Linked DNA regions of Tribolium castaneum. The protein of the gene in region 2 purifies or fractionates together with the protein of the main gene of each other region. This does not show direct contact. Links are inferred from orthologs where the notes say so. Each region holds a gene or a part of one and is shown on either strand. Other genes may lie near its edges.

Region 1 (5,325 bases), on a different chromosome or scaffold from region 2:
GTTATCCCCAACCCCTTCACGTCCTTCTTCAATTCCACAACGAACTTCTCCATTTCCGGCATTTTCACCGCCATATCCAGGTTCAAAAGCGGCAAGGATGGAGACGCTGGCACGCGCGATAATCCCGTATAACTCTTTGACTGCTCGAATTGATACAGATCCGTTATTTGATCCATACCTTTGTGGAAGATTGGCGGATATTTGTGCTGAATCAAATAACGATCTAACTCAACCGAATCGCTTAAAAGTCGCGTAGGCACAAGCGGAGCTGAAGATCCTAAATACTTATATTCGGGAGAACTAATATCAACCGGTCTTGCAACCACGAGACGCACGTGGGTCCCAGATTGTCGTAAAACAGTCGCCACTTGCTCAGAACCCATCTCGTGCAGATTCACATCACCAATCTGAAAACAAACACATTTTCCATTTCCCCACAACTTTTTTCAATGATGTGAAGGCTTTTGGTGCAAAAAACGTGCAAATATAGCTAAATCGTTTGTCATTGGTATAATTCGACGAAATTTCTTCAAATATCTATTCCAGGCTCAAGACAGAGCTAATTGGCTAAAATCACATAAGTGGATAATAAAAAGCAAACAACAAAAACGAATATCTACGTCACATTTCCTTTTCCCCTTGACAGGATTAGCCGAAATAACGCAATTTGCTCGCAATTCGGCTAACAAATCTGTAAGATACGACGAAAATACGTTAAAAAAAGTAGAGCGTGAGCCGGCTCAAGAAAAAGTTAAAAGTATGTACGTAACTAAGCGCTTATTTCATTTTGTCCCCTTCAGAAATATCGCTGAAAATAATTTGTTTTGAATGTCGAGTTTGAGAGTTTTTTCCGGCACCGTAAACGTGAATGAAAATTATTTATCTTGTACGTTGAACTTGAAAGTTTTTTGGTAGCGAAGATATCAATGCAAACAATTTGTTTGAATGGTGTTAAACTCGAAAGTTTTTTGGAGGAAAAACAGCGATTATACGTCTCTCGCAAAAAAGTATCAGGTGTTCGTATCGTCAATGGCCATTCATTTGTGCGTTCAGCACGTGCGCTCCCAGTTTCTACAAAAATAACACAAATCTGCGAGGAAAAATTGTCTGAGCGCAAATAGCGATTTATTTGGATTTTCAGCTTACTGTAAAAATATTAAAAAAAAATCCATCACGTACAGTTTCTGCATAATAATTCAATGAAGCAGTCTAAGGGCCATTTTTTCTTATGGATTAATAGTTTTTGAAAAAATACAAACAAAAGCAAAATTTAAAAATATATAATTTGCCAATTATTGAAAATTTGGAATTTTCTTGACGTCAATCGATTTTCAAAATCATTTTACACAAGTTCACATTAAAATAAATCTACTTTTTCGAATAATTTAAAAAGTGAGTGTGTGAATATTTCAACATGTTTAGACATTCATCAGGGAATAAAGCTTTCTAAATAATCTATTTAGAAGATTATCATAGCAAATAATAATAATTTATTTACGAGCTAGAAATGGGTTGAGAAAATAACCGAGTTAAGTAAAAATTTCTGGCCCAAGATTGAGCTAAATCACTCAGAAATGGCTGAATCATGTAACTAGGCACAGAACAAAAAAATCAAAATAAATATGTAGACGTATAAATTTATTTATGTCGTTTTGGTCCCTTTTCAAATTTCCTTATTCCTTTTATTTATCCATAATTCATGTTATATATTTTTTCTTTTAAAAACTTGGCAGCTTGTTTCTCTCATGGGCTAAGTTTCTGGTTCAAAAACGAGCTAAAACGCTTGAAATAATCGAAAATAGCGTAAAAAATATGTATGTAACAATCTGACAAGCTTGGGAAAATGATCTTTACAATACTTTTATCTCAAGTAATTTTTTTTAAATATAAAATGAATACTTACTTGTATGTAGGTTTATTATTTGTCTGAAGTTTTTCTTTATTTTTTTCTTTTTATGGGTTAGGTACAATTTTACATCAAATCGGAGCCTTTTTATAGTATATTTTCTTTATATTATAAGAAAAAAACGTTACTACACATATTAGAAAACTATTGCCAAAATAAGGCGTTCTAAAGCAATTTAATAATTTTAAAGCGATTGTAAATAACAGAGAATATCAGTGCAAAGCGTAGTTTTCGTCTCAAATGAAGCCATTTGACTAAATCCCAACCGATTTGGCTCCTTTTTAAGCGAGAAATCGTATTTCAGTGAAACATGCACAAAAGACGTTGTTTTTGGCGAAAATGGTGCGATTTGAACCAATTCCAAACTAGTTCAAGCAAAGAATGACTGTAAATCAATGTGTCAACGGAACCAGCCCAAAAATTGCAAAAAATTTCAACCAAAACTGTATTAGATCTCTTCGCAACAGCCGAAATATAAAAAGATACTATAATTAATTAAAATCAGTGTAATTGATCGTACGTGGGCTTTTTTAAAGTTCACTGAAAAAAGTTTACATAAAAAACGTCCTTGCTATAAGAAGCTGTCCAAACGTTTAAATTTAATTGCACAGCAATTCCCGCTTGTTGTAAAAAAATGTTTTTAACGGAATTTCTTTCTTACTCAAAATAACAAGAAAAGTTAAACTCGCGATTGGTGGTTCAGTGAGTGTAAAAAACAGCCGATGTGTTTGTTGGCCCCACCTGCAGAATGTGGTCCCCGCTCTGGAGCCGTCCGTCCCTGTCGGCCACTCCCCCTGGCAGTATGGTCTTGACGACAACCCCCATATTCCTCATCCCCACGATGCCGAAGCCTAGCCCCGTGCCATCATTGATGAGATCAATGCTCTCGACCTGCGACCATTCGCTGCTGAGCAGGCTGTCGGAGCCCGTTTTGGAGGCGTCGCTCCCTATCGAGGGGGACCTGTGGATGACGTCGTCGTCGCCGGCCCCGAAAGCCTGGTTGTTCTGCAGGAGGCGCAGCGTCTCCTGGTTGCAAATGTTACCGTTTAGCGTTTTGCTGTTAAGGAGTATCATCTTATTGTCAGTGGTGTTGAAGGGATGCACGTGGGGCGAGCCGGGCGAGATGGGGGCCGAGGGCACGCGCTGCTCGTCGAAGTCGCGAGCCGGCTGGTAGTCGTCGGCATAGTCAGGGTCGTACAGCTCCCCGGAAGGGGGCACGTTCAGCACCAACTCGCCAGATGCTGTGATGTCGAAATCTACGGGCAAAATAGAGGGATGCTCGCCCAGTTGCTGGTTCAGTTCGCTTAGGGAGTCTTGCACGGTGACTACGCTCCGAAAGACGGGGTTTTCCAAAACGGAGATTAATAAACATAGGTCCTGATATGTGTTTACTTGAAGTTTCGGATCGCTCAACTCGTCCACTGTCTGTTTTATGTCTTCTAGTAGTTGTAAAGCACTCGAAATATCGGCATTCAAATGCATTATTTCTTGTTTTAAGTAAAATTAGTAAAAGGAAAATAAAATCTAAGTACACGAACACACCCTCAACTTTGCACCCTTTACTTGAAAAACAAAACGAAACGTCAGCTGTCACTTTCCAGCAGTACCAACACCGACAAAACCACTGGACTGGCGAAGTACAAGGTCAAGCAATAAAAGATGTTTTTTTTACTCCTAATTTATTTTATTTACTTAGTATACACAATTATTTTACAGAATATTACATGAACTTAAAGAACGAAAAATGCAACTCTAGTATACTTCGAAAATCAATTTTCCACCGAAAGTAACAAAAATAAGGACATGTATAGATAGAACAGACAGTTTGCGGTCACATTTCATGATGGTCAGAAAAAGAACGATGATTTACTAATGTGAAGAAAATACATTTATCACAAGGCACAACGTGTGTGAAAAAATACATTGTTACACTGATATGGTTAGAAATAAATCTGTAATAGTCGAATTGAGCGTAAAATTAAAGTATCACAAGTGGTTACAAATACTGTTTTTGTAGCAAATCATCTAATATGCTTATGCACGAAACAATGTTCTTGCGTAGTGATAAATATTTTCTCCTTATGGCGTTCAAATAAATGCATGAGTTCGATCAAATGCTAAGACAACATACAAAACAGCAAAGATAGCACATAAATAATTTTGAAGAAAGCTTGTGTATACAGAAAGAGAGGAACATACATACATTTTTACGAACATTAACCCTAAAAACGTTTGTGTTGAACTGCATTTAGGTAACAGTAGCACTTAACTAACTACCCAAAAAATCTACGGTTGTAATCATAACCGCGCTGATCATTCATCCAATCCAACTCTGACACAAAAATATATTAATCTGTTATCAGCCTTTTACATATTTATGACTACAACCGATAGTCAGTACTTTATATTTGAGTATAAAAGTGCTTTAAAAAAGTAATACAAAATACTTATTAATTAAATTCAGTACAAAGTTATCATTTAATTGTAAAATTAGTATGTAGCGTTACTTTATTATTTTCTGCGAGTAATTTAAACTTTTACACCCATTATAAGAGCGAGAGACAGACGAAAACGGAAACATTATTTACAAAGGAAATAAATACAGCCAGTTGAATTGTGCACAATTTTAAAACACTAACACCACTAAATGAATGCAAACGTACAAAACGCCAACTAATCGCTTAGCCAAGACTCTGCGCTTCTGATAATAGGTATAGAATTCACTCTCTAGGTACAGAAGGTTAAAAAATCATAAGAACTGAAGTTTGATTTTCAGATAAGCAAGATTTGGTTTTATTTTACAGAGGTTGAAGAAAGTAAGTTGAGCGCAGGGGCTTTTAATCGCGGCACTCAAACACTTGACTAGTATTCCATTTGAAATAAAACTTCAAAGCAATAAAACTACGAGTGCCCAAAATGCAAAAGTACGTCAAAAACCCCTGCCCTGAGATAAATGGGTGCATTCTGGTTGTGACTGGCAGCACAGCCGATGACTAGGGCACACACTTGGATCATGGGTTCACACCTAATCGCAGCTGATATACACATCAGTACGTATGGGTTGGAATGGACGGGCAGGCTGCATAGCCTGAGCCTGTACCTTCTTTCATGCGTCAGTCTCACCTCCTTTTAATCGAAGCCGAGCGAAATCTTCGAAAATAATGTCGTCGTCGTGATCTTGCAAATTATTTTCGTCCCTAAATCAAGCAAAGTAACGACAAAAAGCAACGCAAGCGAGACACATACGCGTCCAGCTGGATCAAATTGGCGTCGACCGGAACATCGGCCCCCACATCTTTGCTAGAACGACGCGAGCCGGAAGTCGGAGGTGGTGTTTCTTCCTCAGGTTTGGGGTGCATTAAAATAAAAGGAAGTTCGGCTACTAAGTCCCTTAAACATGTCAATTTTCCCCCAACTGT
Region 2 (4,808 bases):
ACTTAACGCCGAATTCTGTACAATTTTTGAGATATACATTGCAAAAATATATTTTTATTAAACTCACCTTGTACCTCATGAAATATACAAAAACTATTAAAGTTACTCAAAAAGAGTAAACAAAAAAATTGAGTATTACGTTTTCGACAAAAAAGTTATTTACGGCGTATTTTTCTTTTATTTTGCTCTAAAGGAGTATGATTTAATCTTCGGTTTCCAGAACGACTTATCGTTGGATAAATTTTATTAGTCAATTTATTATTTTTATTTATTTTTCCAAAACCTCATCGATTTGTCACCGCCTCATGAGTGAATTTTAATTGCTAGCCAATTACTCGTTTTATTCTGCACTGTCCTGAAGATTAAAATTAATTTTTAAGGGAAACATGAAAAAATAAAACAAAAATTAGAATTTTGTGCTTGTTTTCATCTTTTTAACGCTAAAAATACGATGAAGATAAAAAAAGCATTAAGAAAGAAAGTGTAAATTAAATTTTCCTCAAAAGGGACTTCAATTTCACCGATTTAGGCCCTAAAGACATTCAAAGATGCAAGCGAGCAAGAGAAGTAATTTGACATAAACATTAAATACAGAGATCGTTTTTGTACGAAGCTTACAATTTTGTTTAATACACATTTTTCGTGTTTTCTTATAAATTTTGTGGACCATATCTGTACAACCTCACATTTTTTTAATTATAGTCATCTCCATGTCTGAACGGCGCCGAATGCATCGACGGCCTCAACAGCTACACCTGCAACTGCACCGACACCGGCTACACCGGCACCCACTGCGAGACAAACATCAACGATTGCATAGGCGACCCTTGCGAAAACGGCGCTTCCTGCGAGGACAAAGTCAAGGACTACGATTGCCACTGCTATGCCGGTTATTCTGGCAAAAACTGCGAAATCGACATCAACGAATGCGACAGCAATCCGTGCAAACACAACGGCACATGTTACGAACACTCGAACCAAACCCTCTACCAACTCTCTGACCAAACCCTCCCCGAAATTTTCTCGGCGGAATTTAGCTACGACAAAGCCGCCGGTTACGAATGCCTGTGCGTTGACGGCGTCACAGGCGAAAATTGCGAAATCGACATCAACGAATGCGAAAGCAATCCGTGCTTTGAAGGCACTTGTGTGGATAAAATCGGGGGGTTTGCCTGCACGTGTGATGAGGGTTTCGAGGGCGAGAGGTGCGATATAGACATCAATGAATGCGAACGGTTCAAACCGTGCGTTTACGGGAAATGTTGGGATAGGAGAGCGTCGTATTATTGCGAATGTGACGCGAATTACGGCGGGAAAAACTGTTCGGTTGGATTAACAGGCTGTGATACCAACCCGTGTTTGAACTCCGGGACGTGCAAACCGTATTTAATCGACGAAAACATCCACAGGTTCAATTGTTCGTGCCCTCATGGCTATTACGGACAAGTTTGCGAAAAAATCACCACGATGTCGCTATCGGGGAAGTCCCTAATTATTGTAAACACGTCACGGGAGGAAGGCTATGACATCCAGTTCCGTTTCAAGACAACACTGGGCGATGGATTATTGGCTTTGGGCAAAGGCTTGACTTATTACATTCTTGAATTATCCCGAGGGCGCCTAAACTTGCACTCAAGCCTGTTGAATAAGTGGGAGGGTGTTTTCATCGGATCGAACTTAAACGACAGTCAATGGCAACGCGTTTTCGTTGCGATTAACTCAACTCATCTTGTTTTATCAGCGAACGACGAACAAACAATTTATCCGATCAGTTTTAACGAAATATCAAATGGCACCACCTATACCAGTTTCCCCTTGACATACATTGGGGGGATCCCAAGCAATTTGAAAAAACTCACCCATGGTAAAACCTACTTGGTTGGTTGTACCGAAGACGTGCTCATCAACGGCGAATGGATTTTGCCACCAAGCTCAAGCCCACACACAAATCCCGCGTTCACTTTTCAAGAAGTGGAGCCAAGTTGTAAGAGACAGCCGCAGTGTAATCCGAACCCGTGTCATTCAGGGGGGCACTGTACCGATCTCTGGGTCAATTTTAAGTGTACTTGTGGACGGCCCTACTTGGGGGACACTTGCCAATACAGTACGGAATTTATTTCGAGTCTGACGCAAATTTTACGATTTGGTTTTAGATTATACAGCTGCGACTTTTGGTTATGAAAATATAACCGATTCTTTGGTTACGGTTTACGTGGACAGTGCTGCAAGACGGGCTGTTCGTACCATAGTCGATATTAGCATGTTTATAAGGACGAGGCAACCAAAAGGACAGATTTTTTATCTAGGGTCCTTGCCAAGGACTATGAATCCGTCGGAGGAGACGTACATTGCAGCACAGTTGGAAGGGGGCGAATTGTTGGTCAGGATACAGTTTAATGGTACTCCAGAGGCTTATACTGTAGGCGGTGTGAAGTTGGATAATGGATACGACCATTTAATTGAGGTTGGTTTTTTATTTTTGTGCTTTCAAAATTCAATTTCAGTATTCTCAATTTAAAACCCTTGTTTTCATATTTTTGCTAGTTTTGGTTATTTTGATAAGTTTATAAATAGTAATGTCCTAATGAAAATTATTCTACTAGAATAAAAAAATAGACTTCATCTTTTTTTTAAGTTTTTCGAATAAACGCCAGAGGCGGATTAAATTCCTTTCAGAAAAAAAGAATTTTTGAGAAAAAAAACAGTCAAAAAATTTATAACAAACAATATGTACGAATAGTTAATAACAAAAATAAACGTTTTAAGAAAAATGAAATTAATAAAAGAAATTAAAATAAATTGAGTGCAAAAAAGCGTCTATTTAAATTTTCTTCTTGACTTCTTTTTAACATATTCATAAATAATTACACAGTTACTTGTTGTGGAGTTGACTGATAATAGTAACATTTATGTCTGATTTAGTTTTATTATTTTACACTTAATTTATGTAGTATACCAAGTTGTTTCATCAATCATCTCGTCGGATTTTAGAGATTTCGCTTAGTGGATTTTTTTTATTCTATTAAAATTTTGAATTTTTATAATTTTACTTATTTTTTTATTGAATTTGTCAGTCATTTACTCAAAATAACACTTTCAAAATCTAGACGAAATTAACTCAGAGCAGGTGAATTAATTTTATTCACAGTTCATCGTCTGCTGTTAGTTTAATTTGAGTATGATTTAAATAATTAATGGGATAGCAGACAAGGTGCAGTTTGTTTTGTTGTTTTTTTATTACCACCAACTTTTTTTGGGTTTTTTCTAATTATTTATTGCCTTGAAGAAGTCCCAAAAAGTGGCGAAACGTTTGTAGTAGTAAATAAATCAACAAAATAAACTGCACCTGGTCTGCTATCCCAATAAAAATTAATTAAATGATACTCAACTCAAATTAAAGGTTAATTTATTGTAGTTATAAAAAATGTTGGCCCTGTCGTCTCTTTCTTATTGATACCGTGGTTCAGTTTTGTCCATCATATTATTAAATAATTTTATCATGTATTTTAACACTGGAATTTTTTTTTTCAATGAATGTATTTGAAGACTACAGGGAAAAAACAAGAAATGTCATTTTATCAAAAATTTGAATTAATAATCTGGTTGGAAAAATTTAAAACTATTAACTGCTGTGTTCATTCAAAGGAAAAACTGAGAAAATTAGTTATGCAAGATTTTTGAATAGCAATAATATTTCGTGGAAATTATTGAAACATAAAAGTTAGTGCTAAAAACAAAAAATAAGTTGAACCAAAAAAACTTGCTTTTTTCAGAATTTTCTTATTTAAGTAGATATACAGGGGATTCCAAGTTTTACTTAGATCTAAAAATACATACATCCTACTTTTTTGGCTAAGAACAATTTGAATGAAAATACGCTTCCATTTAATAATTTTTAACCAAACTTTTACTATTTTTAAAATGAGAGCTCTGAAATGAAATCTTAATGTTTTATTAGAATTAGTCTTCGAAACCTACTTAACTGAGGATATCAAAGAAATTTTGTCTAGTGGTGAATTTTGAATCATAATGCTTCAAGTATTTAGGATTTGCATGGATTTTTCCACAAAAATGCCATTTATTAGTTTAAATTGTTAGCTTATTTGAATTTTTTATGTATACAATCTACCCGAGTATGACTTATAGGCACATAAAATTTGAACAATAAAGTCTCAAAAATAAACTTTAATATAAAAATAAAAATATAAAAATAACTACATGAGAAGATCTAATCACAGGTTCAAATTATCTTTAACCAGAGTGTTGTTTTCTCAGAGCTGTTGTAAGATGTTATATACTTAGTTGATCAAATAAAGTTAAAGATTCATTTACTCAAAATCTACCAAATTTTCCACTACCAACATTATATAGATTAAATTCATAATTCTTCTTTTAAAAACAGAAGGATTTTATTTTTTACGTGAAAGCGATTGGAATAATTTTGAAATTATTTTTCCCAAATTTGTTTTTCACGTTTCGCTGCTCTGCAGTATAAATTCAACATCAAATTGAAGTGTGTTAAAAGTTTAGTTTTTACGCAATTAGAAGTTTTTTTTTGCGGAAAAATTTGCGCTTAATACACCTGTGATAAGTGCACGATTTTAGTGTCCTTTTTTTCGTAGGTCATCAGAAACGTCACTTTAGTGCAAGTAAAACTAAATGGAACTGAATATTTCCGCAAGACAATTTCAGCAACGGGTACCCTCGATGCTCAAGTCCTCTTTCTCGGGGGACCCCCACAAACCCGACCGGTGCGCCAAGCCAACGACAACTTAGTCAAAATCGATACAATTTCCCCAACTTCTTCA

Evidence for each region. The genes of interacting proteins can lie anywhere in the genome.
Region 1: the proteins of crb (region 2) and patj homolog purify together in Drosophila melanogaster (affinity purification with western blotting; 7 studies listed by BioGRID, with this or other methods). This does not show direct contact. The link is inferred for Tribolium castaneum from reciprocal best matches to the Drosophila melanogaster genes crb and Patj.

The regions. Positions count from the first base shown.
Region 1 is NC_087403.1:1,763,680-1,769,004, forward strand, and holds the start of patj homolog, read right to left. Parts: upstream 3,523-5,325; 5' UTR 3,389-3,522; coding exon 2,648-3,388; intron 408-2,647; coding exon 1-407. Other genes in the region: beta-arrestin-1, read right to left, coding at 5,013-5,103, 5,153-5,296. UniProt on the Drosophila melanogaster protein: Involved in cell polarity establishment. Probably participates in the assembly, positioning and maintenance of adherens junctions via its interaction with the SAC complex.
Region 2 is NC_087397.1:9,939,233-9,944,040, forward strand, and holds part of crb (protein crumbs), read left to right. Parts: intron 1-702; coding exon 703-2,104; intron 2,105-2,153; coding exon 2,154-2,464; intron 2,465-4,622; coding exon 4,623-4,808.